Linked DNA regions of Mus musculus: region 1 is reported to be linked to region 2. The links are microRNA targets in miRTarBase. Many come from high-throughput screens and were not tested one by one. Region 2 holds a microRNA gene; the other region holds the end of a gene's coding sequence.
Evidence for each region. Region 2 holds the annotated microRNA mmu-miR-878-5p (UAUCUAGUUGGAUGUCAAGACA, at 3,514-3,535, opposite strand). A microRNA usually pairs through its seed, bases 2 to 8, with sites in the 3' UTR of a target mRNA and lowers its output. Matches are read on the target gene's strand: a 7mer-m8 pairs with bases 2 to 8, a 7mer-A1 pairs with bases 2 to 7 and ends in A, and an 8mer does both.

Region 1 (5,062 bases), not on the chromosome of region 2:
GTCCCTCACCATGGCTTTGCAAAGATTACCCTCTTTCTTCTGAAATGCAACATAAACACTCAGTTAAAGTCTTTGACAGTGCCATCCTCCTTTCCACTGTGGGATGAAGAGGGTGTGTGTGTGTGTGTGTGTGTGTGTGTGTGTCTTCTTCCCTGTCTGTAACAGCACTACAGAACTGCCAGCCATTAGCTCTAAGATTTTTAATAAGGAGAAAGCTTTTTTCTTAGGACATGTGATCTGCAGAAGGTGTGGGCTGTGGCTTGGGTAAGTGCGTACAGTTTCATTATAGGGCTCCCTCGTCAAGGGTTTTAATTTGCATCAAAGTGGCAGACTAGGAAGGAGGTGGTGGCAGGGATGCTTCAAGAAAAATGTCAGTTTGGTTAATTAAAATCTTAGACCTTCAGGCTTCATTTAGCTAGAGTTCTAAGTTATGTGTTGTGACAAACAAGGCTTGAACTCAAGAAACAGGACTTAATCCTTACATTTCACAAGAATGCCCAATAAAGTGATTAAACATGAATTAGAAAATATTGTATGTATGAAAGAAGTAGCAAATATTGATCAGTTGCTCACAAGGAAAGCTTGGGATCACACACCTGAGGCTACTGGCCACATTTTGTATACAATCTTTTAAATGCATGCTTCTATTTAAATATAACTTTATTTAACATGTACTTGCCTGCTTGACATTGACTTCATGCCAATGCCACTAAAATAAAGCTTCTCTAACATTTATTTTCTATTTAAGATATATCACAGCTGTTTTGTTCTTGGGAACACGAGAGATCACTTAAGGTCACTTGGGGCCCTATAAAAAACGAGACAAACGAGAAAAGGCCTCCAAACACAACACAGGACCTAAATGTACTTTGAAGGCATATGTGACAGGATGCTAAAGCCCATGTTGTCTGCCATCACAGAAACCAGTGGTCAGAGACGGGAGCAAAATCTATAGCCTGTTGTACCCATAGAGCCAGCCTGAGAAGCCAGAGAGAGATCTGTCTGCTTTGTTCAACCGCAGTTAAAAGTCACTGTTTTGTGTGCCTGTACAAATGCCAATAAAAGCATCAGGAACACTAACTTGGGGATTACAAATATATTTTAGTTTGTGAACAAATCTACAAACATGCAATCCTACAACAATGAGACTGTGCATATGCATATATATCATAACAACTCATGAGGATACACATACGTAATATTTTCAACTGTATGTAGAAAAGGGAGTAGATGTTAAAATTAAAATTGATTAAGATGCACTATGGATGGAAAACTTTTTAGAGAAATGCTCATTTATAAGAACTGGATGTTATGTTTTGAACATCTTCTGGATAGAGTTGGATACCATGAACCTCCAACAGCCGTCTACAAGGAATCCCTGTGTACAACCCACACTTTGTCTCTTGATCTTACCTTATACCACAAGGTATCCAGAATGGGGATCTAACTTCTTTTTAATGAACAAGCAAAGCAACCTAGAGACTTAAGATTCTACATACTCTGGAACCTGATACCACAGTGTGCCAGGTCCTTTGGACTCAAGTATGGGCAGTCACTGAAAGCTGCTCATTGTCCTAGAGAGAAAATCTTAGGGCAAGGCTTTAGCTCTAGAAAGAATCAACTGTGTACTGTTATAGGTGATTTCCTTTCTCGGAATTCAGATCCACCAAAGAAAGGAGCTGAATGTTCTCAAGGCATTTCTTGGTATGGTGTTCTAGTGATGTGTGTGTGTGTGTGTGTGTGTGTGTGTGTGTTCTTGTGGCCAAGGGAGTATATGGTTGGATGCAAAGATGGGTTTTGGAGCCACCATTTTTAAGTAGAAACAGAACTTGTGTTAAGATTTCTAATTACCTCCCAAATGTCACATTGTTCCTTGTGAAGTCTGGAGTTGTTTGTCATGCCTGAGGGCCTGAAGCATTTTTTTTTTTTTGATTTCTCCAAATTTAGAAGTAACTTATTTTAAATGTTGGATGCATAACAAAAATCTGTAACAGCTTCATTGTCGAACCATCTTTTCTCATAATGTGGCCAAGAAAATAGATCTGGCTTTGCTAAGTGATATTAACTTTCTCCATGAAATAGGAGGCATAAGTGTGTACGTATCTTGACGTGTTAAGAGTGTCTTAATCTTACCCTTAATTAGTCTTGGGAAGACTGAAAAATGTAATTAACTTATTACCTTAGTTCTAGCCAGACGCACAAATATTCGCTAAGTGAAAAGAAGCCTGCATTTTAAAAATCGTTTATAAACAAGGGAGCACATAGGATAATGGTTTGCTGCTAATTCATATTTAAGAACACACTCCCGAGAGAGCACAGACTGAGGCCAGCTGCTAGCCTGAGATGGCCCTGCTCTAAGAACACCATTGGACATTCCCTCATTTCAGGCTTGAGCTGCTTAGACAGCTACACAGCTCCATTTACATCAAACATATAAACATAAGATACAACACGAGTAGGGAACCTTTTGGGAACTACGATTACAATTCTGTATGTTAATTATTCCATATGATAACAGCATACGCTTTTTACAGTGGGGTATCACAAACACATTGAAATTTACAGGAATGGTTTCTGGTTAAATCTAAATGAAAGGAGGATGATATGTTTAAATACAAGAAGGAGGCAAATTCTGTTGACATGTGAAGGGTACAGTGTCTACTGGAGAGGTTATTTGTGTCCTGGACAGAATAATGGTTCTCCTGTGTTTAAGAAGGTCTTCCTTAGTAACTGAGTTTAAGGGAGGGATACATATGGGGCTGTGAAGGAGGAAGAAAATACCTATCTAGCTAACCTGATCAACCCTAGTATTCAGTAGATGACATAATAATACAAGTGAATTCAGTCCTGGGGTCCACCAGTGCTTTGTTGGGAAGACTGTCTAAGACCACAGGGATGCTGAGGGTATGGGCATTGACTCTATCTTCTTGATTGCACTCTGTGACAGGGAGACCTTTATGCCTCACTATAGATACGCTACTTCAAAGATGAGTTTAGTGGTCTCTGATTCAAAGAAGAGGGATGAAAAGTGTGGAGCTGTTTCTCCATTCCAAACTCCCTCTAATGAGCTTTTCACGACCTCATTCTTCACAAAGGAAGAGGTGAAAATCACATCCACACCATGACTTCGCCGGGCTGATGTTCCTAATGATCCGTTTTCATTATTTCCATTTCATTACAGTGGAGACACACAGAGATGAGTCCTGGGGTTAGGACTTTTACCCGGATCTTTGGATCTCAAGTAGAGTTCCTTTTGTAAGTCGGAGTATGTTCTAGAAAATTGTCCAAATCATAGCAAATGGACAGATTATACTCATTGCCACTGGAAACCTCGGCTCTTTCTGTGTCCTCTTCCTCCAAGACCCCAGAGCCCTGAAATGCTTGGCATTAAAGTTATCCAGAACTGGATACATTTCTTGTGTCAGGAGCCTCCCATCTTTGCCCTATGGGCTTGATGAGATTTGATACATCTGTGGTAAAGCCTGTCCCCTTATTTTTCCTCATTTGAAATTACATCATTGCAGATAAGTACAGAATATCTAAGGAGATAACTGGTGTGGAGTGGGGAAAGTCAGTATACTATATGGACCCTCTTCCTATGAGGCCTTGGTCTCCCTATTGATGGAGTTATCCTTACATTTCTAGTATGTCTAGGTGCTTTATTCTATTGCCTTTGACAGTTCTGTGCAGAAAAGATACAGAATGAAAGAATATGTAGCATGACTCTGGCTAGTCATTTGTGACTTCTTTCTAGTGACCTGGATGGATGGATGGATGGATGGATAGATAGATAGATAGATAGAGCTGAATAACTCCAAATAGCTTCTATCATTTTTTGGGGGGGTAACTTGTTTTTGCACATAGCAGGTAATTCTCACATGTCAGCTCTTGTCCTTGAATAATTGGTTGGTGTGGTTTGCAGACAGAAGCATTCAGTCCACATCACTTGTTACTATTTGTGTCTGCCTTCTAAGATGTTATGCAGACATCAGTTGTGCTGTATGTTATTACATAGAAGCGTCCTGATACATTAGAGCAGGAGAACGTGAATACAGCCGTATCTTTCCATGTAGCTTGTGAGTGGTTGATGGTGTGTGATTTACTGAGTACCGAATGTTAAATTTTTCCTTGGGCAACACCTGAAGGCTACTTTAGTCTGATACAATCCACCTCTTCAGTGGCAGGCACCCCGCTGGTTTTGAGGTCGAGGTCAGCGCTGGACTTACTCCCGTAGTGAGAGGGCCGCCAGTGGAGCCGCAGCATCTTCTTGAAGTATTTCATGGTGTTGTTCTTGACCGTCACGAAGCATATAGTATTGATCATGCTGTTGCTCATGGCAATGCACTCCACGACGTAGAAGGCGGTGAGGTAGTGCTTCTCCTTCACAACTACCGTGGGGAAGAAGTCTCGCACTATGGTAAAGCCATAGAACGGCGCCCAGCACAGCACGTAGGCTGTGAGGATGCCCATGAGCAGTAGCACTGTCTTGCGGCGGCAACGCAGCCGCTTGCGGATTTGCTCCGTCTGGAAGCCAGGTACAGCCTTGAACCAGAGCTCTTGGGAGATCCTGGCATAGCACAGGGTCATAGTGACCACGGGACCCACGAACTCAAGCCCGAAGACGAAGAGGAAGTAGGATTTGTAGTAGAGCTGCTGGTCCACCGACCAGATCTGACCACAGAAGATTTTTTCTTGATTCTTGACGATAACGAGGATGGTTTCTGTGGTGAAGTAGGCAGATGGGACAGCGATGAGGATGGAGACCATCCAGACCAAAGCGATCAGGAAGGAAGCGGTCTGATAATTCATCCGTGGTTTCAAAGGGTGGACAATAGCGAGGTATCTGAAGGGAGAGGGAAGCCAGCAGTGATGGTTATATTTCGAAGCACGATTGCTTTTTAACCAGCCCGGAGAGCTGGAACCGCACAGTGAATCCCCAGCTGCCTCCGACCCAGGTTTAAGCAGCATTAGCTCACTAACAGCCCCACTTGGCTTTTAGAGCACTGATTTAATGGAAACAGCTTCTGGGTTAAAGCAATGGCTGTTCTCCCTTGCCTGACAT
Region 2 (5,073 bases):
GAACTATACACAACTAGAAAAGCCAGTATTGGGAGATGTCTCCTAACTCCCAGCACTCATGGAAGAACATTCCATTTGGTTGTCTAGTGCAAAACATTCATCCTGAAAACATACAAACAAGTAACACTATACAGACTTAGCAGAATATATTTAGGAATAAATAGCTATATAAAAATACATCAATACATTCAGTAACAATTATTGACAAACATCATCAATTTGAGGGAGAGCAGGGAGGGAAATATGAAAGTGTTTGGAGGGAAAAATAAGAGGTATAAATATTATAATTAAATTATAATTTAAAAATATACTGAACTAAATCTGTAATTTAAAAACATGTAATGATTGTTGTATCTGAATGTTTATAAATCTTGATGTGTCTGCAAGGTTAACATTAAAGAATAAATGCCACATGAAACTCAAGAAGAATGACACATGAAACTCAAGAAGAATGAAGACTGAAGTGTGGACACTATGCCCCTCCTTAGAATTGGGAACAAAACACCCATGGAAGGAGTTACAGAGACAAAGTTTGGAGCTGAGATGAAAGGATGGACCATGTAGAGACTGCCATATCCAGGGATCCACCCCATAATCAGCATCCAAACGCTGACACCATTGCATACACTAGCAAGATTTTATTGAAAGGACCCAGATGTAGCTGTCTCTTGTGAGACTATGCCAGGGCCTAGCAAACACAGAAGTGGATGCTCACAGTCAGCTAATGGATGGATCACAGGGCTCCCAATGGAGGAGCTAGAGAAAGTACCCAAGGAGCTAAAGGGATCTGCAACCCTATAGGTGGAACAACATTATGAACTAACCAGTACCCCGGAGCTCTTGACTCTAGCTGCATATGTATCAAAAGATGGCCTAGTCAGCCATCACTGGAAAGAGAGGCCCATTGGACTTGCAAACTTTATATGCCCCAGTACAGGGGAACGCCAGGGCCAAAAAGGGGGAGTGGGTGGGTAGGGGAGTGGGGATGGGTGGGTATGGGGGACTTTTGGTATAGCATTGGAAATGTAAATGAGCTAAATACCTAATAAAAAATGGGAAAAAAAAGAATAAATGCACCTTACTAAACTTTGGTCCTTTAGATACAAATGCCAAATTAAGGCCAGCAAGCTCTAACAAGGGTTAATGCTTCTATACCACAATGATGTTCCAGGTGATGAACATAGTGAACCTTCCTCTACCTTATATGGTGTCTATCATCATTTATGTTTTACATGATGGACAACAAATTAGGTAAAGCAGGGTACATCATACCTTTAATATAAAAATGTTGCAAATGTAGCTTCCATGATCCTCTTTATCTTTTAGCAAAGTACCAATTGTACATTGTTGCTAAAACTTGACATACTTTGTGTATAATATATATACATATATGTACACACACACACACAATCTACAAATTGTCACCAAAAATTCCTCCAAGAGAATATCCTCTGATGTGTCTTCTGTTTCAATTAATGGTATTCTCTACCAAGACAATACGGGGGACTGTAATTTCACTTATATAAGTTAGAATTTCTCGTTGAAGTTATTTTTCTTCCTCCTGTAACATGCAAGTATTAAAATAATTATTAGATTTGTGTGTTCAGCAAGGAATAACTACAGAACCCATAAAAATAGAAAAAGGCCACTGGGTAGAGAGTTGTGAGAAAAGCTTACTAAAAGGGTAACAAAACACAGGTGGTATGGAAGAGGAAAGGAGACTAATGGGGGGGGGCATTGTTTAACTGTGGAGCAAGGTAAGATTCTAGGATAAGTGAGGGAGTAGGGAAGAAATGAGTATCACAACTCTGTTTTAAATATCCATATAAGAACAATATATGGTAGATACAGTGACCTGTAGTTTGCGTAGATGATTGCCAACACTGTATCTGTAAAATTAAATTCATTTTATTAATTCATATGAAGAATAAACTAAATGTTTTGCACTTTTATGCTTACATACTTGTATATATTCATAAGGTGAGTACACAAATGAAATCTTCATTAAATATTGCCTTACCCAATATGGGATATCATCTTTTATGTTTCCCAGGGTGCACAGAAAATTAGCTAAAGCAGCATACATTATATGTAAATGTTGAAATGTTGAAATCTAGCCTCTACAATCCCCTTTTTATCTTTAGCTTGCATCAAGTTACCAACTCACATGATAACTAAATGCTAGTCTAATTTGTTCATGCATCATCATGGATTCCATCAAGAACCTATCTTTTTAACATTCCTCCAGCTTCAGAAGAATGGTTTTCACTAGCATGAAAGTTAGCTGACTGCCATTTTCTCTGAACCGTAGTATTTCCCAAAAAGATCATTTTTTATCCTTCTGTAGTCTGTTCACTCATCCAAGCTATCTAAGGTGAAGTGTAATACATTGAAGCTGAAGACTGGAAAACACATCTAATATGCATGCATGTATCAACCTCACCATATCCATACATGAGACATTTACAGGTACCAAAACTGGTGATTGGTGTGCCTTACTCTACTCAGAGAGGATGGAGTAACATGCAATAGGAAGTGACTCATATCAATCTGAGTATTGCAGTGCACACAGTTTGTTCAGTGATGTCCTGTGTCTCAGCTTGATCCCACAATCTTCAGTATATTCCAGCAATTATATAAATATAGTTAGATACATCAACAATACCTTATTTATTCATAGGTTTAAAAGGACTATACTGCACTTTATCTTTCACAACTCTTCATATTCTATGATCTATAGTATTTAACTTTATACATGTATGCACTAATAAAAGTACCTTATGTTAGCACCTTTCTTTACATTATTTAACATGAGGTTCATAAGATTAAGAACAGACTGTCCAAAGAATGTTAAAGAGAATTTAAGCCATCAGATATCAAAAATTCCTCTATAAATAGGAACTTCAAGTTACCTTGGTTACATACAGAGGCCATTATATGAGTTACTTGCTGAACCTTCCTTTAAGAAAATCCATGGTCATAAGGACTTCATCTCATCAGTACCAATGTTAATATAAAAATGAGCATAATTGTATTTAAGTAGACACTGTCACAAAAGCTTCCTTCATCTCCTGCCCATTTTATTACATAGTCATCAAACCACAATGTTTGAACTCTTCTGTAATTTAGGCTTAAAATCATATTATCAAACACCTTTAGTATGTGTTTCTCATACCATAAATCCTTTTACTTGCCTTCTTCTAAGGGAAATGACTGTCAAAATAAAGAGTGGAGGTTTTATAAATGTATTCATGTACTGGGAACTGTGTTAATGTACTTTATTTTTTCTTGTCTGACTTAAAGAGATTCTTTCTGACACTAACACAACATTCCTTATGTAAAGGTAACAATATAAATACACCTAGAAACACAATATGCATGGTTCTATTTCTGTGCAGCCAAACTAACAGCAGCATTCATTTATCAGCACTGTGACCACCCAAGCCCACAACAAATGAGGAACACTGTGAGCCCTCCTCTACCCAGTGTGGTGTCATGCACTTAAGTTTCACGTGTCTTGACATCCAACTAGATAAAGCATTGCACACAACACTCTTTTCATTAACTTGCTGTATAAGAAGCCTCTATCATACACTTCAGCTTTTATCAGAGACTAAATTAAAAAAAAACATGATAACTATCCTTTGACATAATTTGTCCATCTACTTTTGAGAATAATTAATCACTCTCCTTCACCACGCTTTTACATAAAGCATGTCCTGTAACTAACTTTCCTTTTCAGTGAATAGTTATACTATCCAGAAAAATAAACAGATTGCATCTTTGTATATTAAGATGATCCCCAATGACGATTGAAGTTACCGCCGTATCAATCTTGAGGATGTGTTATGATACAGTGCCTCCTGTGATCTTCAGTGAGTATATCACTAAGGCTGTTTTTGGTGAACATTACTCTATTCAGAAAAGACACAGTTACTTTAGAAAAGATGTGACTGTTATCTCTCTGAATATTGTACTGCACACAATTTGTTCATTGAGTATGAGGAATAGCATCAGCCTGTCCCAAACACCAGCATATTTCATATTATACCACACTCAGATTGTTAATATGAATGTTAATGTGACCACATATTCTAAAATCTCATTCCCAATCATATTTATGACAACCACAGGCCTTCTGACATACATTCTTACAAACTAGATGTTTTGGAGAATCAATAATATAATCTTTAACTAATTTTTATTTTTTATAGGGTATATACTTAATCCTGTCCTTTTTTTTATAATCTAAGACAATTAATGATTAAGAATAGGAATCAAAATAATCACAATGCCTCTTTCCTCTATCTTGTAATATACCACTATATTAAGTTTGCATGATGATGATTCTGAATAGACTGGGTTCAATTTGTGGTCATCCATGACATAGGATGCTATTTTCTAAGACTTAAACTATGCATAAAGGACACTGACATATAGGCACTGCAAAGAGAACAACTTTGCTGTATTTGAAGGTGATGATTCTTGTTATTATTATATCACTAGAACATTTATCAGTCCTGTGTGACTCCTGAACCCTGAATTAATTTATTCCTAACATATTTAATTGTGCTTACGATATGGTCATTCATCATGCATAACAAATGAAAGCCTTTGATCCTATATTGTTACTTACTTCGTTGAATCGAATGACCAATAATGCATGTTTATTTCATTTCCAATTTTTATAAGTAAAGTATTTTTATGTTGTCTAATACATGTGAGTCAACTGAACAAAGAATAGAAATAAAGTCATCATTAATAAACCCTATGAACTAGAAATATCACAGGACTACTTAAGATTATTAAAGACCAGCCAAAGAAATTAGGAGCTATCCAAAGGTCAATATCCAGAAGTTTAATAAAGTAATACACTTGGTGAAGCTTGCTCTTAAAAGAGTTGGTTGCATTTTACTCAATCTGGAACAACACTTTGCTCCCATACAAACAAGAACATTAATGTATAATGAATAAGTTATTCTGATTTTAAACTTTAAGGAGCATGGGATAAACTAGGAAACATACTTCTAGGTTTATCACTGAATATGCTCCTAGAACAATTAGCTGACTGGA

Region 1: miRTarBase lists Prokr2 as a target of mmu-miR-878-5p. Seed matches in the 3' UTR shown: 7mer-A1 at 2,783-2,789.

The regions. Positions count from the first base shown.
Region 1 is chr2:132,369,248-132,374,309 of GRCm38, forward strand. It overlaps Prokr2 (prokineticin receptor 2), which reads right to left. Exons shown (of 3, transcript NM_144944.3): 3 at 1,082-4,843. The coding sequence ends at 4,147. Among named protein-coding and RNA genes, the nearest start is that of Prokr2, 14 kb to the right of the region's middle.
Region 2 is chrX:66,798,041-66,803,113 of GRCm38, forward strand. It overlaps Mir878 (microRNA 878), which reads right to left and starts at 3,545; the gene lies at 3,468-3,545. Mir463 (microRNA 463) reads right to left here and starts at 1,257; the gene lies at 1,183-1,257. Mir880 (microRNA 880) reads right to left here and starts at 2,567; the gene lies at 2,490-2,567. It overlaps Mir881 (microRNA 881), which reads right to left and starts at 3,981; the gene lies at 3,904-3,981.